Linked DNA regions of Oreochromis niloticus. The protein of the gene in region 1 purifies or fractionates together with the protein of each later gene. This does not show direct contact. Links are inferred from orthologs where the notes say so. Each region holds a gene or a part of one and is shown on either strand. Other genes may lie near its edges. The genes, in order: pln2 and atp2a1.

The links.
Region 2: the proteins of pln2 (region 1) and atp2a1 purify together in Homo sapiens (affinity purification with western blotting, with the first as the bait; 3 studies listed by BioGRID). This does not show direct contact. The link is inferred for Oreochromis niloticus from reciprocal best matches to the Homo sapiens genes PLN and ATP2A1.

Annotation. Positions count from the first base shown.
Region 1 is NC_031986.2:13,220,251-13,236,882, forward strand, and holds pln2 (cardiac phospholamban), read right to left. Parts: upstream 8,292-16,632; 5' UTR 8,132-8,291; intron 2,967-8,131; 5' UTR 2,816-2,966; coding exon 2,654-2,815; 3' UTR 1,004-2,653; downstream 1-1,003. UniProt on the Homo sapiens protein: Reversibly inhibits the activity of ATP2A2/SERCA2 in cardiac sarcoplasmic reticulum by decreasing the apparent affinity of the ATPase for Ca(2+).
Region 2 is NC_031969.2:13,941,384-13,957,795, forward strand, and holds the start of atp2a1 (sarcoplasmic/endoplasmic reticulum calcium ATPase 1), read left to right. Parts: upstream 1-7,753; 5' UTR 7,754-7,914; intron 7,915-8,006; 5' UTR 8,007-8,025; coding exon 8,026-8,143; intron 8,144-9,129; coding exon 9,130-9,147; intron 9,148-9,597; coding exon 9,598-9,680; intron 9,681-12,881; coding exon 12,882-12,986; intron 12,987-15,229; coding exon 15,230-15,368; intron 15,369-15,973; coding exon 15,974-16,054; intron 16,055-16,144; coding exon 16,145-16,230; intron 16,231-16,412. UniProt on the Homo sapiens protein: Key regulator of striated muscle performance by acting as the major Ca(2+) ATPase responsible for the reuptake of cytosolic Ca(2+) into the sarcoplasmic reticulum.

The DNA.
Region 1 (16,632 bases):
GATTTTGAAATACACAATTGGATATTGCCAGTTTCTTAAATGTGATATTACAAATATTTGTCTTTTCTGTTTCTATAAATAAGAAAAAGTAATTTAGATCCAAATGAACCCTCATATTTTGTAAGCCACCAAATGAGGAACTTACCTTGGCTAGCTGCTAGCATACACTGTATGCTAGGTTAGAAGAAGTTGGGGACAACTGCTCTTTACTTTGTTACTTACTTAAACATGTCTTTTTATATATGTTTAAGACTGCAAAGCATTTTTTCAGTTGTCTTTTAACCTACATAAGTAGATTTTTAAATGTGAACACTGGGGTAGACACCTTTTGAGAGTCCTGGGGTTTTTTTCAGTGGCCGTGACAAAAGCTAGCAAATTTTGTTGCTAACACTATGCTCAAAACAACTGTTGGGCATCTGGTGTTCAGATTTATTTTATTTTTTTGGATTGACACTACCAGTAACTATGATCCAGTTAAGACAACAAATGGTGAAACAACTAAGAGAAAACTAGTCGAAGGAGATTTTCAGAAGGCTTTTTCACCCAGGTATTTTTCAACATTACTGAAATTATTATGGAAATTATCCATCTATAACATTTAATATGTATAATCTCAATATGTTTTGGGGCTTAAAAATCAAACATTGCTTCAGATTTGCAGACTGTTTTTCACAATAATAATAATAATAATTAACTGAATAATGTAATGAGTGTTTTTAAGCATTACTGATAAATCAATGCATTTTTTCAATTTCTGAGTATTTGCTAAATAGAACATCTATAATAATTTTTTTTTTTTTTTTTTTTTTAAATAGAATTCAATTCACATTTGGGTAAATAGTCCCTTGGCTGTGGGTGGCAGTGGAGATTTCTCATATGTTCTGGTGATCACAGGTCAAGAAAAAACAAGCTCTTGAATGTAGGCAGGCGTTCAAAGGGCTGTAAAACCAAAACAGTAAGCAGTATGGACCATACGGACAGATAAAGACAAAGCATTTGTCACTTAAATCAGACACTACTTTTAATTGTTTTGACATGCAGTTTATTTGGTGTTCCACAGTTTAAAAATCAGGTGGTAGTTTTTCAAACGTACATACAAGACAACAAAAAAACAATTAATTGATACTCACCTATGTGCATCTCATTTTTTTTTTTAAACATTTTTAGTCATAGTACATTTCAAAAGCAATGACATGATTTTATAATTAGGTATTTTATTCCAGCGCCTAAAACAAAAAGTCTAGCTTGAGTAAAGAAATTGGCACTACGTGTAATCACACCATGCAAAGTGAGCTTTCTTTCACAGCTGATAGTGTATAGACTGCATGTACCTGTGAAGCACACTGTAAAGCAAACCTTTCACTGTCACTGTTAGACTGTGCTTCACACACACTCGTTAAAGGTCTGCAGTACTTAGAAACATTCCTAAGTATCATATCAAGTATGTTTATATATGTTAATTAAGAGTAAGAAACACACTGAATAAAATGGCAGACATGCTGCACCTTTGGGAGTGAGCAGACAGTGATAACAGAGCTTCAGTTGATAAATAATGCCATGGAGATTTAAGATATGTGTCAAATTTCTCAGCAGAATTGATGAAAAACAGGGTAAAAATAATTTTACATTTAAAATGATCCACCATGTCTTTTGTGATATAACCACTGGGCGGCGCCAGAGTTTGAAATTTCAATAGAATTGCAAATTTATTAATTTTTTCATCTTCTTCTCTTCTGAAGACGTCCTCAGTGAAGAAATCTGAATGTCAGTGATAGTGAAACCAGCAGGTTTACAGCTTTAGGCGACAGCAGGTTTAGCAGCGTATGTAAGTGAACTGTAGCCTCCATGATTGGGTGTATGCCCATCTGATGTAACTATGGGCCAATAAAGAGTGGCAACAACTCAAGTACTCAACGGACGTCACACATGGCAGCTTTTCTAGGGCAGCAACGTTACATTTTGAGGCACGCTCATCTCAGACTTTCTACCTGCTACCTTTTGCTAAACTTGTGTTGCTGAAAGCTTTTTTTATTTTTTTTACCAACAAGCAGTTTCAGGAAACCTCAGCGAAACCTCAGTGTTTTCCTGTGATCTGTCTGTGGTTTCTGTCAGCGGCACACCAAGAAAGACGTGAAAACGCTCATGGAAAAAAAACATTTCCAGCCTGTTTATCTTTCTGCTGTGGGGGTTGGGTTGGGGGGGGGTTTACAGGAAGTAAAGGGGGGTAGGCTTGTGGGAAATAGAAGTCAAACATTGGTGATGTATTGATATTTCAGCATCGCTGCACTTACTCGTGCTTATGCGTGCATAGCGGGAGTCGCTGTCCTCTGCAAGCGAGCACAGTGTGAATCTGAATGAGCAGCAGGAAGAGGTGAAGGTTACAAACTGCTGGAGTCGGGTCACTTTCGATCATTCCCTTGAGACACAGACAGCGCAGCTGATTCCCGATCAGCTCCCACATCACCCTTGAGCTTTGCTGTGAATTGAGAGTTTGGCCAATGCCTCCGTGATCCTTCTCCGCGCCTTGCTGGTAAACGGGGTTAAGCTGATACATGCCACTTATATTATTGCTTCTTATCCTTTTTTAAAAATATATCTGCATGTATCAGTGAAACCCTCATCTTTGCCCAAACTCTCTCTCTGCACGTGTCTCTCAGCTGCTCAGTAGGACGATGATGTAGATGAGAAGCAGGCAGATGAGGATGAGGGTGAAGTTGACGAACAGCTCCTGCAGGTTCCTCTTGGCCTGCGGGTTCACCTCGATCTGAGACGCTCGGCGAATGGCCGATTTGGTCATGTGCTGAACGCGCTCCATGAAGGCCGGTTACAGTTTGATCGGCTCGATTGGGAGACGAGGGAGTTCAGGTCAGGCTGCTGGGCCTGTTGTTGTAGAGATGGGGGGGATGGGGGGGTGTTGATCTGAAGATGAGCTCGGGTCAGGTGGCAGTCGCTTTATCTTCTCTTTTCTAGTGGCGAAATAAAAAAAGAGACTGTTAAACACATGAAAAATGGGATTTCAGAATCACCCCAGGCCCTCGTCCCCTCATGCGACCTTTCCATATCAGCACTACATAGTGTGATGATAAGACGGCTGCTCAAGAGGCGCCAGCTGAGGCCTGATGATGTGTTAAGCTGGAGTGTAGTCTGAGTGGCAGCAACACAAATGTCATGACCACAGTCCTGGGACATGTTTGTAAAGAGGGAGGAGAAAAAAGTTTCTCATGACTTTATAATATGTTTTGTCCCCCCTCTGTCATTACATCCCAATCAGCTGGGGGTCGTAGATTGTAAGCAGAGTGCGTAAGCAGGAAATAAAAGCACGTCACACAGTGCAGCTGCAGGCTCTCGACACTGGCTTAAATCCCCTTTTGTCATCTGATCTGTGACTTTCCCCAGATCAGAGGCACCGTGACAAGGTTACCGTGCTCTCGCATTAGAGGCTCCTGCACACAGCGAAAAAAAGAAAAGAAAAATCTTCCCACTTGTGCATCGGCTGTGCCAAGGTCTTTTCTATTTTTAACAAGATTAAAATCCACACAGGCGCACCCCTGCTGGGTACATTGTACATTACATCCCGCATTACAAAAAGAGGCTCAGCGATCTACACACAGCTTAGGAACCTGAGAGCTTTGCTGCTAGAAGGTGTAGGTGTTAGGGTGGTAATCCAGGAGTTTGGAGGTCCTCTGTGCAAAGTTTCAAGTTTATCCTCAGGGGGGCGCCAAAGGAAAAGTGCCCCATACTGCATATATTATGACTTACGCTTATGATACTTGAATTGCACTTTTAAACTCTAATGTGCCATTTTTATTTTTTTTTTTAAATCTTGTTTCCTCGTGTCTGTAAAAATAAAAGCAAAAAGGCAGCCATGGCTATTTTTAATCATTTCACTTTTTTCCTTCCACCCCCGTAATCTTCCTCTGAGTCACTCATTATCACTTGACATGTTGACACTTGTGCACACAGTTTCTCAGACCCCACGGGTTAACTCTCCAGCCCGCTTGATCAGACCTCACTGAAGTGGAGCGTAGCGTGGCTCTGGAAGAAGGAGGTTTGAGGGGTTTCATTTCTGGAGTAATCGACCGGTACACAGTCGTGTCTTAGCTTTGACCTGTGTGTAGAGGCGTACTGACAGAGTTCATTAATTCAGCGTATTAACCTGATTAAAGAAGAAAAAGACACTAAAATCTGCTGTTTTCATGCCAGGTGACGAGCACAGAATTGCTGATTGTGTCCTGCATGTGTCTTTCTCATCATCATCACCTGTTTTATCTCATGCCCATGTTTGACCAGCTCCTCAGGACGTACATATGCTGTTTCATCAACACAAGCAATCACTGTTACTCATAAATCCTCCAAGTCTCTGTATGTCCTCGAACAAATGCACCAAGAATGATCAGAAAGTAATCAGGCTGAACTTTTCCTCTCATCTGTTTATGATTTTTCTTCTTTTCTTCCACCCCACAGAAGCAGCCAGTGAAACTCCTCTTTCTATCAGTGTGAAGAGATTTAACTACACATTGAATCCCTGACATATATTAATATAAGAGAACGAGGAGTGGTTTCAACAGTACGTCTCTTTATCTACGTGATAAAATAATGCTGCTGTAGTAAATGAAAGAAATCTGTCTGTGCTGAGTCTGTGCTTAGACAAATCTGGTCCTCAGGCCTTATGTTTGACACCCATGATTTAGAGCGTTTGCGTTCAGTCTGGACTTTTAAACTCATTAGATTCTAAATATTTGGCTCCATGTAGAAGTAGGCTTTGACTTTATCAGCTATGGAGCTTCAGGGTGGCCTGAAAGGGACAGGCTGAAAGTCCTGTTTGGTTTGGGTCAACAGGTGGCGCTCTTTCAGCTCATTATTTGTGATTAAAGGGTTTTTATTGAGGTATTGTCTGTAAACACAACACCTCAAAATGTTTTGTATCCATGCTGGTAAAATGTTGTATGGGTGTAGAGCGGGGTCATGTCGTCCACTGAGGTCTTCAAGGTCAACTCAAAGATTTATTGGTCGAAAATTGACAAAAAGCCTTAAAACTTACTGATTCTTACAAGTCAACATATAAAAAGTACAGTATAAAGATTTAAAATGTCTTGTCACATTTGACCTCTGACCTCTTCTTCAAGGTCAGCAGATTGATCTGAAGGTCAAAGTGCTAATAATGCTAAATAGAACTATTTAAAATGACAGAAAGCTTTCAGACTGACACAACTATGCTTTTTGAGTATAGCTGACACAGGTTATAAAATACAAAACTATTTAAACACATGTGCAATCCTCACGAATAAGTATTATGTTTGTTTTTTTAAACCAAATAAACTTTTTTTTCACTTCATATTTATCACTAAAAATGTCCATTTTTACTAAACAGTAAAATGAATTTCCTCAGCTCCATCTAGTGGTCTGCAGACAAACTGTGTTTGGACTGAAGCAATCAAGAAAAATCTTTGCTTGTGCGTCTTCTGCACAGACGGTTTGTATTCTGGGCTTCCCTCTGACAGCAGCTCAAACTACACCTATAGAAATTAATATTCATCCGCCCCGGTGTTTCCCTGCCCCGCTCTGTTCCTCTCAATCATCCTGTGCCCGAGGTCATGAGCCTTCCACTTCCACTCATCCTTCTCTCCTCCTTGCTTCCTTTCTCACTTTTTATATGAGAAATTAGCATTTTTGTGCAGCTTGTAGTTTGACCTTTGAGGTGAAATTACATTCTCTCTGTATGTCAGTCTGCACACCGCGTGTCTGATAACAAGCGAGCCACCGCTGCTCGGCTTCATCCTCGGCTGGTCTGCAGCCGCATCATTATAAACTGAGCTCTGTCAGTCAGCCAGGCTGTGCTTTTCTTTCTTGTGTCTAGAGTGCAAATAATCTTCATTTCCACTGCACAAAATGAGTGAAAATGAAATGTTGACAGTAGATATAAAGCTTTCATCTTTTTTGGCCCACACAGGCACACCTACATCCTGATGCAGTGCATACATCTATTTTCTTATTTTCAGCAAGCTCTTTACTCGTCATCATTTCCTACTTTGCTTCTTAGCCTGTTTATACATCTCAAGTGGCTTAGGGCCAAATGTGTCACAGGAAACATGGTCTAGCTAACTTCACAAACACAACACCTTTATTTAGGTTGAAGCTGTGGCCTTTATTTCAGTGGTAATTTTGTAGTTTAATGGAACACATGAGCCACTGTGTCAGCCCCAAAAGGGCTACTGATTAAACCTGAGGGATTATAATATTTATTAATAAGCTCCCAGGCTTCTAAAAGTGTTGGTGATAAAGGATCATTAGCTGAATGCTATCTTGTGTCCTAACCAAAAGTCAATAATCTCAAAGCAACACCTGATGGATTCAATTTCAAATTATTCCAACAAATCAAATCAAAAGAGGAGTCTAGGTTAACTGTAATTTCCCATCTTAGCCACGTCCTTTAATATGGAGAAGGCCCCAAAAAGTAAGCAGTAGATCATTTGGGTGATATTATTTTACCTCCTGCAGTTTCAGTAAAGCGGGTTAGGAAATGAATCTATGTTTTACTTTACTGTACCATTCTGCTGCTACTTTTGAAATTTATCTAAAAGGCCTCACGCAAAAAACACAGTGCATTTAATCATTTGATTAGCTTATTTGTATTTACCGTGCAAAGCTCGAGGAGAAATCTGTTTTTATTTTTAGATTATCACCGTTAAAGTGCAGATTGCTCCTCTGGGCTGCTGAAAGGACCGCGTTGTCCTATAAACACAATCAGCTGTTGTTAGCCGTTCTTGCCAAGCGATAGATTTCTCCAGTGTGACCAACACAGAAGTGGAAAATAATGGTGCTGATGTTACTGGTAATAAAGTTTTTAGAGATGGAAATAGTTTCAAAATAAACTGAAATAAACTGAATTAATCTTCTGTTTTTCTCCTGTGAGTTTTGTCGCTGTGTGCCAGAGCGCGCAGGTACATGCACGCCACTTTCTGCCCACTCTAGAGGCTAAAGTGACACTAAAAATAAGTCATTAGCGATGCTTTTTGTCTTTGCAATCAACATCAGCACTTGCAAGAGAAGTAGCTGGTGTAATGTTAGCATTTCCTCTTAGAAAATGATTGACAGCTGTGAAGTATGTAGGTTAGACAGATGCATGGGCTTACTGATGTTGTCCTGCTACTCTAATTGGGTCATGGCTAGCTGCACCCACTCCTTGATAGCAGCTGTTGGGAGCCAATACCTCACATAAATCACTTTAAATTTGGCAGCATATATATATATATGTACAAAATTTAAGGTCTTTATCATAAATAAACATGTCTAAAAATATATACATGTGTAATATTGCATTGTATAGCATGATATAAACATAGTTTCATAGTATTAAATATAATTGATTTCTTTTTTTACCAACTGTTGTGTATTTTGCATTTGTCACATGTCAGAAAGAAAATCTTACCACCCACTTCTTTCTAGTGTTGCTTTTTTGTGCGTAACTCGCTCCATGTACTGTATCTCCTTGAGAGGTCATTGTGAAGTAAAGATACATCTAAAAGTATCTTAAAATTTTTTTCTTCTTAATATTTTTTTAATGGAAACACATCTAGAAATAGAATAAGATTATCAAATGGAGCAAAAAAAAAAAAAGAAATACAGTGAATTCTCCTGGACCACACTGGGAAATATTGTATATCGTACTGCAGCATTAAGTATTACTAAGATAGAGTTGATTTGACTCCTCAGTGCTTTTAAATAAAATCATGTGTTCGGGATAGGAATGTAAGAATCTGGGATAAGTCTTTATCCCTCTGGGAGTTTTAGCCCAGTCCCTGTTCCCCCTGCTTCTCTCTACAAAGCTGTATTTACTGTAAGTGAGCAATGACTTTATAAGAATCAGTGATTCATATCGTGCTCCTTAATATCTTAACATAAAACATCTCCTGTAACCGTTTAACTTCTGCAAGTACAAATGTCCTTTATGTCCCTAACCAGTTAAGTACCTGACTCAAATAACTCAGCTACCAATAATAATACGTTTTAATGACTCTTCTTATCACAAGATTTACCCTACTGGGCTTTTATCCTGTCTGTATCATCATTTGTCATCATCAACTCTCTGTCAGCCTTCCTACAGAGCAGCTCAGAGGATGCTGGCTCTTACCTTTCAGATGAGAAGAGAGCTGGTTGGAGTTTGAGAGAGAAATGTCAGATATGCCGTCCTCTCCAAGGCTGTAAACACAGTGAGAGATGGAGAGAGAGGGAGGGAGGGGAGAAATAAAGGAGAGAGAGAGAGAGGCAGGACATCCCAGCAAAGATTTCAGGAGAGTGGGGATACCAAATTTGTATTAGGGCTCCTGAATTATACATGCAGCCACCGGCACGTACCGCTGCATTTCAGGGTTCAAGTTTGGGTGAGAGTTCTGAAAGCTGAGATCGCGAGGTCATTCCCTCGTTTAAAACAACTCAGTCATATACGCAGACGTTACAATACTTTTTGTTTCTGGCTCTGTAATAGTTTATTATTGATGATGCAGTATTACTGTTCATTTAAGATTTTTCAGGGAAAGCATGGTAATGCTCTTAAGCTCTCTGGGCTAAATGGCTGACGTATTAGCCACACTCCTAGAGCAGATTTGTTTTCTGGGAAAATTATTTTGGGAAATGTGGAAAATTTGCCAGCTTTAGAAGGACACCAGTCCTGTTGCACTGTGCCCATCTGTGAAGAAAGAGATGCTTTATGTGTTACTGCCATGCCATCCTCACCATGCGTGCTTTCTTTATCCTTTCTTTAATGCATTAATGACGTGGCTGCTGGGAGGGGCCAAACACGTCCCTGCGATCACTTGAAATCTGGCTTCCGATCAAATACCACACCTAGACCACCCTATTGTCTTCATTATCCTGGCAGCCTGATATACACTTGGCACATGTGTTGTGCTTTTTGAACAGCTGATGACACCTCTAAATTTACAGTATACATTTGGCCATGACCACATCATTGATCCTCTGGGACCTTGAAATTGTTGAAGCAGCCACGAGAAAGTTATTTCTCTTCTATTGCTTAACTCGCTAACTCTGTGTTTCGCAGCTGGTGGAGAACAAACAGCAGATTTGTTTGCCTGGATGTGAATTTAATGTGTCACAGTAATACTTGTGAAAGCTAGTCTGCTTATCAGATCCATTCATTTTGAAGCTATTTTAAATTCGTTAGCTGTGAAGGTGGGTCTACCTGACATTGTATGAATTTCATTTAAAAAAGTATTTTTATCATTGTGTGTATGTGTGTTTGCGAAGTGTGTGAAGTCCTGGACAGCATCCTCCACTTTAGAGAAATCAGTCGAGACAAGGGTTTCAAAAAGAAGTCTGTAAAAAGTAAAAATAACCCCCCTGCTGTGGCCCAGAAAGCATTGCATCTGCCTTATAAGGGGAATCAGCATGTAAACAGGCTGTCAGTCACATACTGGGAAGTCTGCTTTGTTGATGTTGCTGGTCTCTACTCCACATGGATACACACTTCAAACAATCCGAGAACACGGGCAAGCAGATAGTTCTATCTTTTATGACAGCTGTATCTTTCCCAAACATGAAGGGGAACCTTGATCCTCCCTCTGGGAGACAGCTCCACTGTTTCAGGAACATTTGTAAATAGAAAATTAACATAATAATAAAATAATATCATATTAGCCGAGAGTCAAAAGCACAGTCAGAACTGTTCATGAAGAAGAATTTGTTGTGCACAAAATCATAAGAAAAGGACGTTTAGTAAGAAAGACTGAATTTAAATCTAAGGAGTAGTGGACGTGCTGTACTTGGGACATTATTTCCTGATGCATTCTGAAATCCAAAATTAGCCATTTATCTGGGGACTAAAAGGGTCCAGATGTTGTTGAATGTACAGATTATGAGTGTTCTTAAGAGACTGTTTTTAAGCCTGCTTGTCGTGATCCATGCAGGGTTAGTAACCTCTGAAAGTCTTTGGTTAGCCCCATTTAACCTGCAGGACTGTCTGGAGGCACCTGGGCCATCCTTTGCTACCTTGGATGAAAACTTTTGTCGACCCTGATTTCGTAACAGGGGAGAAAACTTGTCAAACAGTCAAAAATTATGACCGTCATCTCTAAAAGGCAGTCTGGAAAGTATCAGGTGGAGAAACCGGCTGCGCTGACTTCAACGGTGACGGGAAATTTTTAGAAGAGCTGATTGTTTTTTAAAGCCAGTAGCCAGATGATAATACACTGTCCAGCAGCTATGGATGGATAAACAGGGCTGGTTGTCAGAACTATAATGGTACAAAGTAATATGGAAATCAATACATTCAGTTTTCTTGGGTTATATTCGATCACTTGAGTTTTAAAAGTGTCCAAACACGTGACAGGCTATCACGTTTGGATAGACTATAGCAGTAACTCTCAAGGAATCAAGGACAGTTGAATTAACCCCTGCTAGCAACACTAAAATTGAAGCCTAAAAGGTATGTTTTCCAATAACTATGTAGTTAGAGGGATGACAGATATAGTGCAGATGGTCTTTTTAGAGTTGTTGAAGTTGCCATAAAGGTAGATTTCAAACTACTAACTAAAAATCTATCAGTAATTGCTCTAAAAAGTCAGTACTGATCTATTAGACGGACCGACTTTGGCATATGTAGGACAAAAAAGAATTTGGCATCAAGCTGATGTATTAATGTGAAATATATTTGACATATGCTAGGTATAGATTGATTTTTGGCAACAGAATATTACTGCTGATAATCAGCAGGCGGGCTTTCATTGGGCAGTGGTGAGGTGCCAGTGGCCGACTGAGGGTTAGAGCTCATTGTGTCTTTGTGTTTGTTTGATGCCAGGACTGAAGGGATAAATCTAACTCTAAGTCTGGAATGCGCAAATCATTTTCAGCTCCGAGGTGCTCTTGAGGTAGGCTCTCGCACATCTGAGAAAGCTCTTCAGCTGTGGACAGATCCAGCTCCTGCTGCACTGGACAGCCTCCAGGTGTGGAAGTGTGGGAGTGGGAACACTCCTGAAACTGGGCCCACTGCTGTCACTGGAAGTCTAAAAATAACACTCTTGGCAAAAATAATCGCTTCTCTCCTGTTATGTAAAGTCCTTTGAAAGTGATGATAAATATTTGCGTTTATCTGGTAGATTAAGTGTCTCTGCACTTAATTTTCATTGTCATCATCATGTTCTGTCTTGCCTTCATGAGCACACAGAGCCTTTATGTCCAGCTGAAAAGTAATTATAAAATCTCTTACACTAGGAAAATAGTTTCCTCCTTTTTTTTTTTTTTTTTAAATCCCTAGAGTGGTGCAGCTCTGCAGCCTTACATGGTGAAATACCAGACTGCTCTAACCCACGACTAGCAAGACAGAAAGATTCAGAGGGAAAGAAACAGCTTGACTCATATAAAGAAAACCACAGCAGGGCAGAGAAAACAGACAGAGCTGCTGCTGCTACCAGTCAGAAGTCAGAGATTTGCTCTTTTAAACAGAGACGCAAAAAGAAAATACTGCACTTTAAACTTTTGTGGTTAAACCTGTAATGAACACACCTGGCCCTTTCTCTAGCAGTCTAAGGTTTTGCACTCACTCAAAATTCTCGCTGCGCACATACAAAGAAAATATATTTGAGTAGAAGCTTTCATGTTCCCCAGAGGATGAACTTCTTGTATTATAGATTTTTTTCATAAACTGTATAATGAATTTTAATGATCTGAAGTACATCCACAGGCCCTGAGTGTTGGATCTGAATGACAGCAGCTCAAAGACAACAACAATGTATGCAAGATTTGACACTTGGCAGCCATCTTGAAATGTAACCTGGCAATTAATTATGAGATATTTTGAAGCATTTTCTAAATTAACAGTAGCATCTGTAGAATCGGTCACGGGTCTGACACATAGAGACAGACATCCATTCACACTCACGTTTGCACCTTCCAGAGATTTCAGTGGAGGTGCTTGTGGTTAAACCTGTAATGAACACACTTGTCTTTGAGCAGATCTCATCACCACTGCAGTTATTTCTGTTACGTTCTGCTAGCCACCAAAATGAAATAAAGGGCGACAGGTACGCCCATACCTTGCACTTAGGCAAAATACAGCCAGGTGGTTGGAGCTGGTCCATGGACTATTTTAATCCAGGCGAAGATCCCCTAAAAAATGGAAACAAACAATATCCAGAAGACAACAAAAAGTCAGTATTAGGCCTCAGTCACACAGGCAAGAGACTAATCCGAGACCCCCCGGTCAATATTCCCTGATTGTTTGGTAAAAGAAATTGGTGATGAAGAGGTATTTAGTGGTACCCTAAAAACCTCTTTGCAATTGCTTTAGTTGCTTGCAAATTGCTGCAGATTTGTCTGCAAGCACTTGTAAACTATTCACCGAGCAGTGGTAAAACTTCAAAAGTTGCAACTCAAACCAGAAACAGAGATTGTCCCTCTTCGGAGTACAACTTGCGCTTTTTGATTAAAGTGTTGGTTTCTGTTGTAAAGCACAACGTTTGCTTTCAAGGCTAACAGTCTCCATTTCTGGTTTGTGTCACTCTTTTCATTGTTTCACTATCACTCGGCGTCTTCCCTGCAAACTTCGGGTACCCACAGCAATCTGCCACTGATCAAAGTAATGAAAAAAAGAGGTTTTAGGTCCAGCAGCTTCTTTGAAAATTTGCTATATTAACAACTAATGATTTCACATGATAATAGTCAGCAACCCCCAACCACCACTGTCCAATACATAGGTTTACCTGCTGACCAGAGATTTCCAAGCAGTCACTGACCAGTCTGAGACCAGTCCTTGGGTCAGTAAACCTGGGCATGAATAACTACAGTGAACGTGAACAGCAGCAATGTTTGTAGGGTTATTGACGTTGGGCTAGCTGGCACACAATGGTCTGCTACCTGGTGTCTAGCTACAGAGCTATGGTTAGGATAATATAAACACATTAGCAGAGCAAAGATGGAGGACGAATGGGAAGGTTCTGAGGGGCAGAGACGAGTGGCAGGAAAAAGATGCTAAAAACAGACCAAACTTCAGTCAAGCGAACATCTGTGATGATCCATCTGTCACACCAGGTGAGTCACTAGTACATGAAAAATTCATATACCACTTGAGCTATAGGACCCAGAAGCACAGCTGATATGTCATCACTTAACGAGTGGATAGTGTCATCCAAGAGTGACCACTTCTTGATGTGCACAACAATGCTCCAGTTACTCACTCATCTCACAGCTACTTCACACATAATAACCACACATTGTTGAAAACAAGTATGTAAGTGGAATTCCTGAAATACTGCACGCAGACAGAGAGAGTGGGGCAGATCGCCAGCATTCACACGCCGTGCTCATGCAGTGGTTTGTGTGGATGTTAGTGAACATGGGAGGATGGCTGTGAAGTTTGCACTGGAACCAGGAGAAGAATTCTATAATATATCATGGATAAGTCTATAATATATACTTACATACTTCATAGAATAAGTATTGAGTAAGCATTCGCTAACAAAAGGCAGCTGTCTTTCATCATCGAGCTAATATACATGCTAACTGATTACATATTAGCAGATTTTCCTAGCATTCATTAGGCTTTCTAAACCTTCTTTGTCATTCTGTTGATAAAGTTGTCCTAATTATGCATATTGATGTATGGATGCATGCATAGATGGGCAAATAGAGGATAACAGAGGGTGAGGGCATTTTAGGGGTGAAGAGGGATGGAGGAAGGGTTTACCCCATCAGCTGTGTTTACACTGGAAGACTTAATGCTGCTGTTGGCGGCTTCACACACATTCTCTCACTCTCGCTCTTTCTTTCTTCCTCCTCTCTGTTCTCCAGATATAGCCAGCTATGCAGAGAAGCCCACAACTAGCTTCTCCCCAGAGGCCCCGTCTAAGAGCAGGCTTTATCTGATATGGGCTTCTGAGGAACAATGCTAACAACTGACACGCAGCAACAGCTCTCTTCTCCGACTCACTCTAATGACATTAACGTGTTTCTGGAGCCATGATTAGATTTCGAAAAATCACATTTAGAAACTCAGGTGGGTTAAAGAGTTTTATTGAGCATTTGCAGGCAATATATACTTGAATCCTTCGTCACCAGTGGGGCTAAATATGTGAAATGCCTTGCTTTCAATAGCGGATGATGTACACCTAAAAGATCTTGAAAGGACTGCCAAGCTCAGGTTTTAGCCAAGTTAAAATTAATCATCAATCCTTTACTGAGCAGGGTTGCAAAGCATGTCCTGGCATTTCTCACACAGCAATTTCTTCATCAGTATTCACGCTAATGCACTCAGCCTAATGTGATTACAAGACTGCTCCAATTGCACAGACCACATACACCTTGGTCTGATCTAATTTTAATGACTTGTTTGGATCTTTAATGTCTGCAATTAAGACCTGCAGTGATTTTAATATTTAAATGGCAGTGGGAGATGCACGTTTGGGTGTGTGTGCCTGTGTGTAGGTGCTGATGTCACATGTTATGTATATGAGCTGTCAGCTGAACAGCTAAAAAATGTGTCATTTATATACAGTTGATCCAGTAGTTTCTTTACATTTTAGTGGTTTTTAGGAGGTGCAGGCAACACAGTTACTGTATGTGTGACATGATCAGTCCTGACATGAAGGAAGGGAAAGCCTCTTTGAGCCTGTAGGGAAACATGTCAGCCTGAATGATCAACAAATGACACATACAGGAAAGTGATTTTTCCTGTGATACACTGATTGTGAAATTCTGAGCTAATGCCTTTTTTAGGAATTGCAATTTATCCACTGTCAATGCTAATATATTTTTCTGAGTATTTAGTATGTTTTTGTTGTTCTCTATCCCTCTCTTTGTGCCATAGAAACAAGGAAATCTTTCAGCTCTTTGTGACATCAGATAATTATTATTTATGCATCTTAATAATTAATATCTGTTGGGAAAAACTCATGTTCAGACCAAATATCTGTGGAAGTTCTGTGTGGAATTTGATACTGATGTTACAGCAGTACACTCTATGTCAGTTCTAAAGTTTTACATATCAGGACGTAATAAAACATTATCTGGTCCTTACCTTAAAATGAGATAAATACAGCCTGAGATGAACAACAACTACTGGTTCCATAGGGATTAGGAGGGTAAGCGTTAGTGAATTTCCCATAATGCATTGTGCCACATCTGGCAAATGTCAAACATAGCATATGAGCACAAACACCTCATACCAACCGTGAGCACGGTGGTGGAGGAGTGATGATTTGGGCTTGGACACCCTGCAGTCATTGAGTTGACGACGAACTCATGTGAATACCAAATATTCTAGAGTCAAACTGAGATCATCTGTTCAACAAACAAAGCTTGGTCAAAACTGAGTCATGCAACAGGACAGTGATACCAAGCACAGCAGCAAATCTACAATGAAAAAAAGGAAAAGAATGAAGGTAAAGTCCAGACCTCAACCCAGTTGAAACGCCGTGTGTGACGTTGAGAGAGCTCAATGAACTGAAGCAACAACGTAAAGAAGAGTCTGCTGAAAGTTAAAGACCTGGTAAGAACTAACTAATGTTTTGTGTCTTGATATGTAAAACCTTAGAGGTTGGATTATTTTTTCCCCCATTAATGATATTTTATATTTTACTCATTTTTTTAACTATATGTTTATATATTTAAACTCTAAGTTTAACTCTGAGTTCTTGGCTGGCAAAGTTTAATCTCTTAGCTGCCTTTCTTAAAGAGTAATTTTACTCATGGCCTTATAGGCTTATGCCAGCGGGTGTATTAGTGTAGCACATGTCCCACAGTTAAACATGTGTGTCCTTGCAGAGGCTTGTGTTCAACCCCACCCTGAACCATGAGTGCACAAGGCATCAAAGACCCCACGGGGTAAATCCTGCAGATGCCATGTTTTTGTAGCCAAAAACACTGATGTGAGATTGATTTTAGATTTCGGTGATTTTTGATTTGGTTCTTTTAACCTTTTCCAGAGTGTGGCTCAGAACATTTGGCTGGAGACGCCATAGTGTACATCCTGCAGACATGCAGGCTTAATCTCATAACTCTCTCAGCCTGCTGAGGCATCCTCAAGCAAAACACTGAATCCTTCACATCCCAGGGATACTGCACCGCTTAGATAAAGAGTTTCCTCCTCAGGGATCAAAAGTCCCACTGAAGAGCTACCAAACTCAGATACCAGTGGTGTCAGTGTTAAATTACTGTGAATCAAAAGCTCCCAATCTACTTAAATCAATCATTTAAATCTAGAGTAGCCATCATCCATCCCTATGACCTAATATCAAAAATACACTCAGTCTGAAGTATCCATCTGTCACATTGCCTTAAATAATCAACAAAGCCACCTCATCTAGCCAACTAAAATAAATCAGACACACTCAACCTGCTAAGAATGACACACCACAAATCCATCAGTGACAATAGCTGGCATCCTGCAGCCATTACAAATCCGGCCCACCTAAAGTGACTCAAATGACTTCTAACCGAGCCCCCTGATGGACCACAATGGCCAAAAGTAACCACAGCAGGCTACTGTTGTAGCACTAATCTGGCGCACTCATGGTCGGGCATCATACTTTTCAATAAACCTCATAAAATAAATGCTGCTGGGCCTCCCGATATAAATACCCCACAAATCCGCAGCACCTGATTGGCGTTGTCCCCTCTGTCACG
Region 2 (16,412 bases), on another chromosome or scaffold:
TCACAGACTGGTGAAACAGAGAACACGGAGGTTTCAGGCGAGAGATTATTGAGATGGCAGGAGTTCGAAGCAAATTCACACTCATGAACTGGGATACAGCAGTCGGTCTTATAAATAATATCCATGTTTGGTTTGAATTTGGACAAAGCGTTGACCAGCTGCTCCGGGATTACTGTTTGGCCCAAAAGAAAAATTAAAGAAGTATCATTTTAGGTCAAATTAGCGATGCCTTGGAGGGGCAAGTTATTGGTTTATTTAGCTGAAGTAGCTTAAAAAAATAGATCAACATTGTGTCTGTTGTTGTCTTTATTTTAATTTTACAAAAGTACCAATAGCATTAATATGTCTCTAGTTTTGTGCCTCAGTCCAAAGATCGTAAAGTGTAACTCTTATCATACAGCAAACAGGGCTCCCGAACTAACAGGTCACCTCACTCCACATGCAGAAAAAAGTAAAATGAGTGAAGATCAGGAATGGGCAGTAACGCGTTACTGTAATCCGATTACTTTTTTCAAGTAACGAGTAGGGTAAGGGATTACTACTGCAAAAAAGGTAATTAGATTACTGTTACTTTCCCGTAAGCACGCTGCGTTACTGCGTAACTAAAACCGTGATTTTTTTGCAAGTGTCTCATGACAATGACGTAAGCGAATGCGACGTTCGTGGCAACAGCTGTGTGCACATCAACAATGGATAATATATCGAGTGCGGAGAGCGTTTAAAGCGTGGAAGTACTGACCTTACTTTGAGTTTGATTCCGTAAAAAGTGACAAAAACATTAGCGTCCGCTGTTCACTGCGAAAAAAAACCCCTTAACTTCCAAGCAAGCACTGAGTGCGCTACCACGGAATGGGAAATTCACAAACTCGCGGATTCTTCCACTGACCGCTGCGGCACACCTGCACCAGGGCAAACATCCGCCTGCTATACAGGTGAAAATAGAGCAACAGGACCGCTGAGTCTTTGATTTTATTTATTTTCTGCTGTGCTGGAATGTGCAGGAAATAGGTTTAAATGTTAAACAAATTTCTTCCAGTCAGAGAATGTTGCATATAATTAAATTTTTGCTTGATGCATAAAGTTAAAAGATTAAAACTAATAAAACAAGTTTTAAAAAGAGACATTTCCATTTGATCACATTTTGTATGATGGATTATGCAGAAAAAGTAGAATTGGGCTGAAAGATCTATCACTTTATTACCTATTCAGGTTGTAAATCGTGTTTTTAAAAAGTAACTAAGTAATTAATTACTTTTGAAAATAAGTAATAAGTAAAGTAACGGGATTACTTTTTGGGGAAGTAATCAGTAATTAGTTACTGATTACTTTTTTCAAGTAACTTGACCAACACTGGTGAAGATACAAAAATTGAGACTTGGAGTAGTGCAATGAATTACAGAGGGATTCACCTGGGAAAGTGGGGTTAAAGTCCTAAAATCCTGTGTATGGATGCTTGTTTCTGCCACTGGAGAAAAAATCGAATCAGCATGAAGTACCTGCTCAAACATTTCCAATTTACATAAGAATTTGGTCCAAAATGATAAAGTTTAAACATATATCATGAATGCTGTGGAATTTTAGCTTCATGTGTCTTGATGCATGCTCAATGGTCATGAGAATTTGCATATTAATGATCAAGGAACTGACCTCACAGCCCATTGTTCATTCAGTGGGCTGGTTTCAGTTATTATAGCTTCATACATCAAACACTTTTCAAGATATCTGATGTTTTTTAAGATGTCTGTCACTTTCAGGCCTTTTGTTCATACATCAAAATTAAAATTTCTCCTCAATGTCTCACAATTTCAAGTTATTGTTTCAGATTTGGGTTCTTTGTTGGAGGTTTTTGTTAGCAATTTCAAATTTTGAGATAATAACCCAAAATTGGATGTGATGTTTTTTTCAGTGGTGGAAAAAAGCTTCCATAGCTGTGTGAGAACGACTTGTTATGTGTGTAACACATAAAGAAAAACTATTTTAGATCCCCAATTACTGTGCTATAAAAGGTGTTACGTTTTGTGTTCTTTAGGCAGCACTGCTGTGTTTGTTTTGCTTCGTTTCTTTCATCATCTCCATTTCTACACAGGTGTAAGAGTGAATATTACCAGAATAATTTAATAACATAATGCATGAAAAAGTGCTTCACGCTCATCTCCACCTTGAGTCAACCTTCAAGCTCCAGTGTCGCATCTAGAGCGGGGGATCTTCGCTTGCAGGGTGTCACATTCTCAAATCTCCCCGAAAGAACACCGAATTTCTGCCATTGTGTCACAGCCGCCTGCCCACATGCCCACTGCACTATTTATACCCGACCAGCACAACTGCTGCTATAGGTACAGTTACAGTGAGGCACTTCAAACCACAGCTGCCCTTCCTCAGCTAATAATATGATGCAGTACCTACACACACAAACGCACAACACTCTGCTGCTGCTGCTACTTTTGGCCCTCATCATCCTCCCTTCCTGGTGCTTCCTGGATCTATCATGGTGATGAGCAGCCACATGCAGGCAGGCAGCCCTGACGTGCCCATCTCCCACACCGAGCCGCCTGCCAACGAGCTCTCACACACACTTGTTACATCACGACTTAAACTGTACCCGGTCCCAGCTACAAATCATTAAACACGTAACTGTTTCAGGTGAAAGGACAAACAAACAAGCTAATAAAACAGACGTTTAAGAGAGAAAAATGAGAAAATGAAATTTTTTAAAAAGAATTCAAAGCACTTTTTATCACACCTCTCAAAAACTCAATCACACACACTTTCATACATCTTATCTAACTTTCACACACACACAATCAGGGGAAATTGTATATTGTCCAAGGATACTTTAACATACTGACCAGAGGAGATGGGGAGTGAACCATCAACCCGCCAATTGGTATTTGAGCCACTCTGAAGTTTTCTGCATCAAAGTGTGTGTTAATGCAGTATATTTGTGATATTGTATGAACTGCGAATCACTGAACAATGACTTTAGCACCAGGGTGTACAGCACTCGAATCAAATATGCTGCGTCTAACGCATCAAACATGAGGATTTGATTATATTTCTTTATCACAGATACTCGTAACATGATTTGCAGACTTTTACTAAATTAATATAATGTGCATTTTATCATTATACTCTTACATTTTGACTACCTTCATATTTAAAATGTTGTTTTAGCTAAATGTGATAACAGCAGAGGTCTCGGGGTGAGATTTTTAAGACTATGGAGCACCGAGGGGTCGACAGTGAAGGACATCCTGTTTTAGAAGAACTGTGCCCCTCCTGTTTGTCCGTGATGCTGCGGGACTTAAATTTCCTTAAGTCAACAGTCGTGACACTGAACCCCGTGAGTGCTTGCACCTTGAAAGTGTGAAGTCAACCAAAGTAAATCTTATTGTTCAGCGCTGGAAAGAAAATGCAGATTATTTATATTTAAAAAGAATAATAGGAAGAAAAGCTTGTATTTTACATTTACACCACTGAGCTGCGCTTGTGTAATCAAGTTGAGTCGTTATCCAAAAATAGCTCGACAAATTGCGTAATCTGTCTCTGCAGTAAAAGTGTTCTTTCTAATTAAAATCTCATCACAAACACAGCCGGCTCAAATGATTTTACACGCATGATACACGCCTAATCATTCTTTCCACGTAATGATCTTAAAAGTGTCTTCTAGAAATCCCATTCTCATTGTTCAAGATCACACAAGAGCGTGTGTGTGCCTCTCCGCAGGCGGTGCAGCATTATCACTGCTGTGTTTTATTAGTATTAGAGCACAGTGTTTAGATCGAGGCGCAGTAATCTGATCCCTGGGGGAGATTGAGCTAAATGTCAGTGAGCCACCTTGAGCTTTGCACTGCTACAGCCGGGCCCACGACAGCATCGAGGGTTACAAGTGAAGCACACAAAGGAGGGTTTCCAACACAGACCGCAGCCTGCAGGGGAGACGGAGATAGACAGAAGCAAGACTGAATGTAAATGTAGGGTTAGAAAAAGAAAAAAGATGGTAAAGATTAGAGAGATAAGAGTTAAGAGGAAGTAGGGGAGTATTGTATAAGTATGACTTATGAGAGTGGGTGGCCACATCTGAGTTCACAAAAATGACCTTTGTTATCTTAAGACTAAGAAGATGTTATTATATAACAACAAGTATCTACATGTTTTTTTAAACCTGTGAAACATTTTATAAGAGGGTTTTAAACAGCATTAATGTGTGAATCCTTCATTTCTGACCATATAAATTACAAGCATGTAATTTCATTACAGTCCGCTGAATGTCTTCTGCTTCTTCTTCTGGCTGCTTCCTTTAAGGGTCGCGTCACTGCCTCCAGCTCACCCTATCCCTAGCATCCTCCTCAGGCACACCAACCCTCTGCGCGTCCTCCTTCACTACATCTGTGTATCTTCTCTGTGATCTTCCTCTTTTCCTCCTGCTTGGCAGCTCCATGTTCAGCATCTCTTATCCAGCATGTCCACTCTCCCTCCTCTGCACGTGTCAAAAACATCTCATTTTGCTACTCAGATGAAAGTATGATCTGTAAACTTAAACCTAAATGATATTTTTATTTAGTTCTTGGATTTTCATAGTTATGAATGTTGGACTTTAAAATAGAAAAATGACCATTCATCTTATTGTTGAGCTGTAGCTGTTCAACTTAACTGTACACTTTCATTTTCAGAAGCATCGGTCAGTTATTCTCCCCTAAAAACTTCAAAAAGCCCAAATAGATCAAATTTGGTCCAGTCACTTTATTTCTATAGCACATTTAAACACTGCAGACATTAACCAAAGTGCTGCACAGCACTAATAAATAATAAATACATAAATAATGCACTGTGAATAAAAGCTAATCTGAATCTAGTGTGCGTTTATTTAAGCATTTGTATGGATATAGTTGTTAATGACCTTCAGCCTGAGAACCAGAGGACAAATCTTTCTTAGAACATGGAGTGCTCTTTCTTACAGAGGTGCGAATACAGCCAGTGTGGGAGACCATAACGGACAAACGGGATTCATAGCACATTGAACCATAGCTTATACACTGATGTATCCCGACTGTGTTTGTTTGTGTTTGGTAGTTCTTTTACTTTATGCAAACAAAAGGCCGTAAATAGGGCCAAATCTTCATATTTATCAAAGAAAGAGAAAAAACGTTCCCTTTACAGGTGGTTGAGACAAACACAGAGCATCTTTCAGTCTGACATTCATGAAGTGATTATTACTCATGTGCAGGTGGTGTAATAATATGTAATAGTACAGTATGTAGGGAATTTTCTACCATATCAGGTGTCTTGAAACACAGAAGCAACCTTTTTGATAAAAGCCTGGTCGTATCGGCCTAAAAAGAAACATGAAGCCCGCGGTGTGTTAACAGGTTATTTCTGCAGCCTCTAATTGCCATAACCTTTTTTTGCCGTTGCTGGTTTTAAAGACTTGTAAGTCAATTTGCAGCTGATAACAGGTCCCAGCAGGGTTCCCGTCTGTTTACACTTGGCCGTGCATTATGTTTTCAGCATGGGCATGCACATGCATTTTCACACCTGTTGCTTTGTCATGTGATATATGTGACGACAAGGTAACCGAGACCAGACCAGTTGGGACCGTGGATGTATTATAAGAACTGAGTACTGGACTCAAATATGGCACCTGCCCCCCCTAGAATGACAATTTCTGACCTCACACACAAACCAAAAACTTGCAAGCCCCTGTGTTGTGCTCTGAGGTTCGGAGTGCTGTAACATGACAAGAGGGAAGGTGGAGAATGGGGTGATACATAGTGAAACATTACAATAGGTTTAAAAATACAAAGAGGAGTCACCTGTAATAGACTGCCGTGCTGCCTAGGGTGTATCCCAGCTCTCGCCCTATAACAGCTGGGATAGGCTCCAGCACCCCCTGCAACTCTGAATTGGAAAAGCACTTGGATGGATTGATGGATGGATGGATGGATGGATGGATGGATGGATGGAAATTCATCATAAAACTATAAAAGTCATTCATCTGCTTTCTGAGTCAGTCCACAAGTACATTTGTTTTATTGAAAAAGTATTAATCTCCACTGCATTCAAGGAGTGTTTCTTCAAATTGCTGCACGTGAGTTGTCATAACTGCTCAAGACAAGATAACCTTTATTAGTCCCACATTTTTAAAATTCATATTATTACAACAGAAAAATTAATAGAGTTAAATAGAATAAATAGAAGCAGTATAATCTATAATCTACAAAGAGTCACAACTGGCAAAATGAAATAAACATATGATTAAATAATTAATTAAATGTATCATCAGTTAATTACAATTGGAAAAAATAGTTAAATATATACACAATTAATAAAATATCAGTTCATTTCATGTAAAACATTTTAATTCATTAAAATGTTATTTTAATTTTGTGTTTTAATAAATATTTATTCATTTCCAATTTTAATTAATTAATGAAGCATGTAATTTACTATTTAATGATCGTTCATGCATTTTGGCACTGTAACAACAGTACTATGCAAAAAAAGAAAATATATGTGTGTGTGTGTGTGTGTGTGTGTGTGTGTGTGTGTGTATTACCAATTAATAATACTTATTATCAGAAAAGTTATCCATATATCTTCTTTTGATATATGGATAACTTGATAGTAAACAGGTCCAGTGGAATAAGCACTAAGATATTTTAGATGACCTTATATTTAAAACTATATTACTTTGCGGAGTTTCCTTTGAGCCTTTGATAATAGTATACTGTGTACTGTGTACCAAAGTGGCCATGACTCCTCAGTAAATGTTTTATTTTGTTAAAACCCTTGAATTAAAGTTGAAAGTCTTCACTTCAATCACACCTAGATCACCTTACAGAGGTAAAAGCAAAAGAAAAGGTGACACTCTCCATAAACACATGGTTTAACTTTATTATCCAGCCCAGTTTAAAAAAAAGTTGGCAGTGTAAAATGGTGATAAAAAATATATTGATTACCAAACTGTATAAAAACTTATATTTAATTGAAAATAGTGCAGAGCAGGCATATTGAAAAGCCACAATTGATGAAATATTTAATGAAATGTATCAACAGGTGCACCTCAGTATTAACACAGAACATGAACTTTGAAATATCCATCAGCAACCTAAGATTCTGATTCATCAAACCACTGGATATTTGGATGCTTTAGGTGATCTTGTGCTGGTAGAAGACGTACATGTGCCTGGATCACACATCACACTGATGTGGGGTTTATTTGAAGGGTGGGATGCATGACCATTCAATTTTGGTTTTCAGTCTCATGTCCTCCACTTAATAATTTCTCATCTGAGAAGTTTAAGAAGATGAAAATTTTCAAAACACATGAAACAAGTCAAGGGGCCTCCAAGCAGTCCAAATCTGAAGGTTGGGAACTGCTTAAAAATCAGGTACTCGAAATATGCCTGAAAAGTCGACATCTCTCAGTGTCTTTTACGTTTCTTTGTCCACGTGTGTCTACAGACATGTGGACACACACGTGCCCACCAGTGTCCATTCAGACAGTCTTTATGTTGCCTCTCCATGCTAACCATGCATGTTCTCTTATGCACATCTTATTTCCAGCATGCTGGGACCCCTCTGCAGTTGCTGCCCTCTACCCCCTCCACCTCTCCCCCTCCCTCCCCCTGCCTATTCTTTACCACGGGGGCCATCCCTGCCCACCTATTTGTGACGTTCTCATCCAATGAGAGGGGGGTGCATGGTGGACAAGCACCAATGGGGCAACTTTTTCATCGCTATAAAACTTTTCAGGACAGTTTGCAGGGTTGCACTTTCTGTCGGTCCAGGGCTCCGAGAGGAGAGCAACAGCCCAGAGAGAGAGAGAGAGAGAGAGAGAGGGGGCAAAGTGAGAGCAAGTGTGAACGCACAGGGAGTTGCCAGTTTTTAATCCTAATCCCACTCTTCAAGAAAGTGGTGGGTAGAATGCCGCATCATTTGTTTTACGTTTCAGTGTTTGGCCAGCTGTAATTTCTCTCCATTTTTTTTCTATCCCTTTTGTCTCGAAGCCTCTCCGTTTAAGTAAGGATGGAGAACGCACACACCAAAGAGTCGGAAGACGTTCTGGCCTACTTTGGCGTCACTGAAGACACCGGCCTGTCACCTGAGCAGGTTAAGAAGTGCCTGGAAAAGTATGGCTACAATGGTGAGGGAAACAAAAAGATGGATGGATGGCCTGATGGATGCATGGATGGAGCACTTAGATGAAGCTTTTGATGCAGAGTGGAAAGAAAGAGCAGTAGAAAATGATGGTGAATGACATGATGGGGAGGTCCAGGAGAAGGAGTACATGCATCAGATTTAGCTTGAATGAGAGGCGGCATATGTACGGGGTGCCTCGGAGGTTAACAAGATAAAATGGCAGGAGCAGAGACACTGAGGGAAATGGGAGGGGAAGGTGAAGGAGGACAAGTAGCGGCAGTGTCGGTTTCAAAGCCGTGTGTGACTTTGTGATGCTGGTCTAATTAAGGGAAACTATCCGACTGACACAAAGCAGGAGTTATGTTTGTGGAGCAGGTGCCTCAGGGTGTCAAGTTCCTGACAACTGCTACTGGTTTTAGTTTAGATTGGGGGTAATTTATTTGTATTTTGAAACTGAGCGCACGACAGTCAAATATGTTGACTCAAGGTCAACATATTTACTTTTGTCTCGGCAGATGGAGTTTGCTGAGTTGCAGTCTCATTGAGCTTTATAAAGAAAGCATCAGAGGCCTCTTTTTTTCTTGCTTATCACAGCAGGGAAAGCGTAGGCATGAATGTAAATGTACCCACATTACTGCTTGGCTTAAGGGTTCAAATAACCGGAACTGGAAAATCATGAATATTCCTACCTCTGCTTCACATTTAATTCACTGGGAAAAAAAGTCCTTAATTCAGTAAAATGAAGAGGAATCATGTTTTTTGAGAATGCAATTTGGAGTAAAGTGTTACTGTTTATTGGAGCAGGGCCTCAGTTTGGTGAAGAAAGTGTAAATTGTGCAATGTAATGCTTCCTTTATACTGTGTATTTTGTACTCGATGGTTTTACGGTCAAATCGATTGACCTGGCTGCATGTTTCACTCTGCAAATATCAGAACGAATGTAGTAAGTGGTGTGCTTTACTAATGTTCTCTGTCTCTCATCACCAACAGAGCTGCCAGCAGAGGAAGGTGAGCCAACCCGAAACATTACACACCTGCAAGCTTCCTTTAACATCCCTGTACAGCTGTTCCTCTCACTTCCTGTCATGACTGCTCCCTTGCGTGTGTGTTTACCACTTGTTACTGACTCCAGTATGGTAATGATGTATCTACACCACACACTGCTCGAGAAACTAATGGATTGTGTCCACATCGGTTGTGCATTGAACTCAAACTAAAGCAGCAACAGTCTTTGCTGCTGGTTTTGGAGCAGCCCAAAGTGGTGGGAGGATATTAAAACAAACAATCATCATTAATCAAATATGTGTTTTCACCTAAATCACAGTCACTGCCTTTTCCATTTAACCCGGTTTGTTCATCAGTCTTACATGTATAATCACAGGAATTCTTAACACTGTATCAACATTGAATTTGATTTAATAGATGGGCTATGTCTATTTATTTGAATGTGTTTATCAGGCAAAAGTATCTGGGAGTTGGTGGTGGAGCAGTTTGAGGACCTGTTGGTCAGAATCCTTCTACTGGCAGCCTGCATCTCTTTTGTGAGTTTCATGATGCAAAGCATTCGACCATCCATTTATCCAATGCAAAGCACCTACTTATGTAATATTCATGAAGTGTTCAATGCACAGAGCTTGCTCACGTTCAAAAATTTCTTCTTCATTCTTCATCATCTTGTAGTGAAAATATATATTTTTCTATTTGTGTAGAGGTGCCCCTTCCATCCCTGTCTTACATTTACTATCACCAGATCCATTCAAAAGTAAATGGAAAAAGCAGAAAATAACATAATGTTTCAAGCAGAGGAAGACTAGCCACCACAATGAATGAAGGAAAAGGACATTTTCTCAGCAGTGCATGTAAAAGTTGTGTTTGCTATTTCAGTGATGGACACCACATGTAGTAGATTCTCTAATCTCTTCCTGTATTTCAGACATCATGTGTCTAATTACTTTTCTTTTCACTCTTTTGCATAACTTTCCAATTTACCTCAAATATGAACATTTTCTCCAAGAAAATCAACTTTTAGATATCTTTCAGATCACACGTTTGATGGGTTATTTAGGATTAAGCTGAGGTTGAGCAGTTAGAAAGTCTAGTTAGCAATTTACATTCGTTGTCCTGCAGCAGCAGTTGTCAGTGGTGAGTTGTGTTTCACCGGTCTGCAGTTCCCAGAAGCCGTACAGTAAAAGTGCAAGGGTCTCAGTTTGGTGCTCACACCTGAGAAGGCCTGAAACATTCTTGAACTCTGCCAGATTTGTGGGCATATTTCCTTTAAACTGTGAGAAACATAGTTTAGCACTGTAGCAATGCTTAAGGTACATTTTCTCTCGATTACCAGGGCTGAATGTATCACAGAGTTATATCAAGATGTTAACGGGGGGTGGGGGGGGGGGTTTGAAGCTAGAGCTAACCCTGCTCATGTAGATGATTTTTAGACTCTACCTCTGATTTAAACTTCAGAATATGTGGCAACTGAAGTTAAACACCCCCAATTTGTTGCCTTTTAAGTCTTGATTTTATGTTACGGTTTATCAACCTTGTTCTTACATAATTGGGGGCTTGTCTGGGATCTGGAGCTGCATCTCTTTTGACTCTTTACCAAACACAGACACACACTTCAGCTGACAAAACATCATGCACATCATCACGTTATTAGATTACCTTTAGTGCCACTCTCATTGACACCAGGAATCCCTCTCCCCTCCTTGTTGCTCTCGCCAGTGCAGTTTTATGAAGGCGACTAGGTTCTTCACATTGTTTTAATCTTCGATTGCTCCCCTCAGGGCTCCCTCTACAGCTGTCACTATAGCCTTAGAAGGCCTGACGTGCTGCGTGTGAAATAGCGAGAGAACAAGAGAAAGACGAAAAGAGAGTGGCAGTGCATGTGCATGGCAGGACCTTTATTTTAAGAAAGTCTCAAGCCAGGACGAGAAACTATATCCTTAGACAAAGGTCAGGGATGGAAGGAACGAGGGATTGCTTGCAGCAGCAGGAGAGAGTGAGAGACAGCGAAGAGGGCGGGGGGGGCTGGGGATTGGGTTGCACAATGGCATTGTCTGTTACAATGACAAATGAGCGCAATAGATTCAGAGTCATATATGGTTTCTAAAAGAGAGAACACTAAATACTGCAAATACATGGTCATCCTATTCATACACACAGGAATGCTCGACCACTGCAAGGTGTTGACAGGCCCTGACGCTCAGTCTGGAGATCGATTGTGTCTTTGAAGAGAAGCACAGTGAAGACAGACTGGAGAGAGCAAGCAATCAAGCCTATTTTTTTTTAAAAAGGGGTGAGAAAAGATGTGAGATGAAAAGCAGGCGAATGGAAAACAAGGAAGACTGTGATGCTGAGCTAAATGCTAAATGCTATAAAGGAAGGATGGGAGGACTTTACTCTTTTCTCTCCACTTGGGTCCATGCTCCGGTGGCCTGCAACTAATCTGTGTCAGTGTCAACACGAGGCCTTTCCGAAACACACCAGCATCAGTAACGTGTAGCTCCTGCTCACAGGGGCGCACACGTGCACGAATATTGGTTTAGAAAAAAGTCACATGGGGAGGATTTCATACATAGAATATCATACAGCACAACAGTGACAAAGAGAAATGTCATTTGATCCTACAGCGGTGCAGAAATAGCTCAGAGCCGTGACAAATATATGTTTATGTTTTATGCTACTCAGCAGTAAAAGATAATACTCTCACCCTGAGCGACAGGTGCACAACAAACGTAAAGACACTTTTGTATCACGGGCTTAGCGATAGTAACAATGTATAATTTTAACTCGAGAGGAAAGTGTCGGTACATTAAATCACCAAACCCAGCAGTGGAGCGCTCATGACAAGCTAGCAGTGACATAAAGCAAAAATCCCTTTAAATAACCTGACAATGTTTCTTGCATGTGTAGTATTTAAGATGAACGGCACCTCTGTAAAAGAAAAATGGACCTCTTAGAGTTTTTTTTTTTTTTACAGATATTGTGTATTTTTGGTAACACATTATAATGTGGCCAATGACTAAGGGTGTAATTCCCTTGTAATTAAATTGAATGTTATTATATTTTCTTAGAAATTATAATATAATAATATTTACCTAAAAATCGGAGGAATTTCAAAAAAATTGAAATTCAATTTAATAACTGAATTTTCCCACAGTGTGTGATATCTGAAGTCATCATTTTTATTTTATTTATTATCTTTTTTTTTTTTTTTTTTTGCCTGAATCAGAAAAAATCTGTTAACCCTGTCATTTACTGTTTTATCACTGACTTAAATGATTACCAGCTCAGTTAATTGATTGTGTAGACATAACAAGGCTTCACTGCAGTGTTAAGGACATGAATTGGATTACATTTGCTTTCCATGAATTTCAATATTAACTAAGAGAGGAAAAAAGAATTAAAGAGGCTGGGATTTGGAACTACAGGGTGAATCGATTAGGGATGAAAAACCAACAAAAAAAATGAAAATAGATTCATTTAAGTAATTTATTAAGTAAAAATGGTCAATTATGAGAGTTTACTATTCTACCAACGTGATCCCTGGATTTTGAGTGTAAGATCTGCTAGCCAACTGTTCCACAAGGAAGTTTTAGGGTTTTTTGGTTTTTTAGTAACAAACTTTCATCAAAAATTGAATCTTAAGGGTTTCATTTTGACAACTTAAGTGTCTCATCATCAAATTTTAAACAACAACTTTTTCAACTTTGGACTCTGTCTGTGTGTGACTGTCTCAGGTGCTGGCTTGGTTTGAGGAAGGAGAAGAAACTGTGACTGCCTTTGTTGAGCCCTTTGTCATCCTCCTCATCCTCATCGCGAATGCTGTTGTTGGAGTGTGGCAGGTCAGTGAGCGCGCATGAATACACACACACACACACACACACATACAGAAACAACTGCAACCCCAAGGCCGCATACCTGCTCCTGAATACTGTCTTTTCCCCACATACACACACCTAAATAGACTCTTATACTTAGAAACAGTCACGCCCAATAAATCACGCACATCGGCGGCCTGCTCAGGCCTTGTGTCCTTTACAGAGAGCACACACGCTCCTTAGATCTCAAAGATCAAGCAAAGCCAGAAAGAGAGGCATGACGTAAACAGGAGGTGAAAAGGTGAAAGGTTAAGCCAGCAGGGCGCGTGGAGGGAGGTGACGGACCGGGTCCCGTTCCTGCCTTGAAGGTTCAAACTGCTTCGTTACAATCCACACTTTGCGATCCTCAGTAAAAATACAGAGGGACGATCACGTTACCGCAGGCTTGCGTTTTGTGCGTGTGTGGTTGAGAGGTTCATATCAACCCTGCGGCAGTCATTTGGAAACTATGCACAAGGATTCACACATGGGGGATGAGGAGGAGAATGGAGAGAGGGAGGGCAGCTGGCATAAGTTGGGCTTTACACTTTGAGGCGGTCGAGGGCAGCCTTGGAAGAAACCACAGACTGAAGCGGACATCAAGCTGTCTGACTTCTCTGTGCCGCCTGCTTTTACTGGGAAATAATTCAACATGATGAACAAGAAACGACTGTGAGCTTTTAATTTAAGGACTTCAACCTGCTGCAGCACAAGTCCTGCAAAATTATGGTTGCACAACCTCTCTTTAAATTAGATTATTTAAGCTGATGGACTTTAATTAAATACAGACATCAGGAAAGCCTCATGATAATGGAAAACAATGGCTTCAAACATCATGCGCATCAGTCAGTCACTGGTATCAGCAACCTTATCCCTCATTTCTAATGACAGTGCCTGATGATTATCTGCCACAGCAACTCTGGGTGTTTAAAGAAACTATGAAAAAAGGGCTAAAATAGCTTTTATTAGTTTGTATAAGTATGTTTTCCTGGAATAAAACAAAATCCGTGCATTCTGCCCTCAAACATTACAACATAGAGTGATATTAATTAATATTTATTATGGCTCAGTGGTGCAGTAGTTAGCACTGTAACCTCATGCCAAAAAGGTTCTGGGTTTGAATTCACTGACGCCTGTGTGAGTTTCTTTTAATAACAAGCACAGGAAACAGGAAAACCAGGGCTGAAAATGTGGGACTACAACAGAGGCAACAAAGACAACTTTTGCTTTAGGAACGTATATAAAATCAATATAAAATCAGAAAATACAGGATATTTTTTTAATTCATTCGCTTATTTTTACCGACCTTTAGAGGTACCTCTCATTTATATTTTGCTTCTAAGATGCCAGACTTTCTTAAAATGTTATAAAGCAATAGTTCTCCGTGCTTTCGAAGGTCTTTGAAATTTTTTCTTTGAAATTTGTTTTGCTTTTCCACTAATTTTCAGTCCTGTCCTTGTACGTGACCATTTTCAGGGATGATTTTTTTTATTTTGTTATGCACCTACCTCAAGAGCTGAACCAATTTTTAACTCCCACTTTATTACTAGCAGCCAGTCACATCACACATCATACATTCCAGTTTCTTAAGTTTTATCTATAAAAAATGCGATAACACAGTTTAAATGGCATAAAATAGTATTTTGTACCAACAAGGTGATGTGAACACATGCACAACAAGCTCTTCTTTGAATAAATAACTCCACAATTTCCCATTTTCTTAGCAAAATATAAAGAAACAGGTGGTGGATCAAGACTTTTCCAGAGCTATGTATACAAAATACTTTTTATATAACACTTTTATACCCTAACCGAGAACTCAAAGAATTTTTTACTACAAACCTCATTCACCCATTCACATAAACAACTTTATTCTATGTCTGGGCACATCATCTAACGCACACACAAACACTCAACCTGTTTCATTTATGCATTGGGGCAACTTGGCCAAGGACACTTTGCCTGAAGACTGGAGCAGCTGGTTTTGTTAAGCTTTTTTTTGTTATCATATCAAAATATTTTATATTTAAATACATTTCTATTCAGGTACATTTAAAAACAATGTACTGTGCATCTTTTTAAAATAATGATCTTTTGATTAAAGCCTTTTTATCTGTCTAAAAACTGACCTTTAACATGTCACAGTGCTGACAACCATCATGCAAAGGACTGGAACATCAAGGAGCTGGAATGATTATGTGTTTGCTCTGTGTGCACTTTTGAAACAGGAGCGCAATGCAGAGAGCGCCATCGAGGCCCTGAAGGAGTACGAGCCTGAAATGGGGAAAGTTTACAGGGCAGACAGGAAGAGCGTGCAGAGAATCAAGGCCAGGGAGATCGTTCCTGGTGATGTAGTGGAGGTCTCTGGTAAGCTTTACCTGCTGCGTTTATTCAAAGCCTGTCCAGCCACTGAAATTCCATAAATGTGATCAGAATTAAGATGAGATGAACTCCCCAAAGCAGTCTACACATAAGCTTGTTCTAAATTCCAAACCCTTGACTGGAATGGGTCATTTAAATTCAAGTGTTTGAAATCTGAACTTCTCAATTTTGCAAGTGTGTGAATACAAGAGTAGTACTGTGCTTCAAAATCAACATGGCCCCTTATAAGGCAGTGACAGAGAAAAAGGAGTTGGGGGGGTGAGTGAAGGAATAAGCTTGAGTATAAGCACTCGCTCCTCTGTCTCTCCCCTCTGTTTGCTGTACACCTGTTCTTTTCATTTCATGATCTCCCCAAGGTCTCCCTCTCCCTCCGACTCTTACTGTGGTATCGGTTTTCAACAACAACACTATCCATCCAGAGTGCTAAAACCAGTCAAACACCCCCCTTCCTCCCCGCCTCCTCCAGCCAACTGTAACACTGCAGTCAGATTGTCTTTGCACTGTAATACTGCCAGACCAATAAATCACTAAAGAAACAAATGTTAATGAAGGGCCTGCTTTTGTGTTTGGGTTTGTTACGTGAACACTAGTTGGTGACAAAGTGCCAGCTGACATCAGGATCATCTCCATCAAATCTACAACCCTGCGTGTGGACCAGTCCATTCTTACTGGTATGTGTTTTGTCGGAGACAAAGAATAAATAAATAAATAAATAAATTTTTCTAATTTCTGTCGCCTTCCCTGACCGCTCATCTCTGCAGGTGAGTCTGTCAGCGTGATCAAGCACACAGATCCAGTCCCAGACCCCCGAGCCGTCAACCAGGACAAGAAGAACATGTTGTTCTCTGTGAGTCTTTTTCCTGCTTTCTCCTCTCCTTGACCTTCATATTTCCATCAGACATCTCAAAACCCACCTGCTGACTGATTTAACTTCCAGTTGGACCTCATTATTCCATGAAAATAACCATTACAGCAGACATTTTGCATGTCATTGTTGGGAACCCACAGGTGTAACTTATAATGATGAGA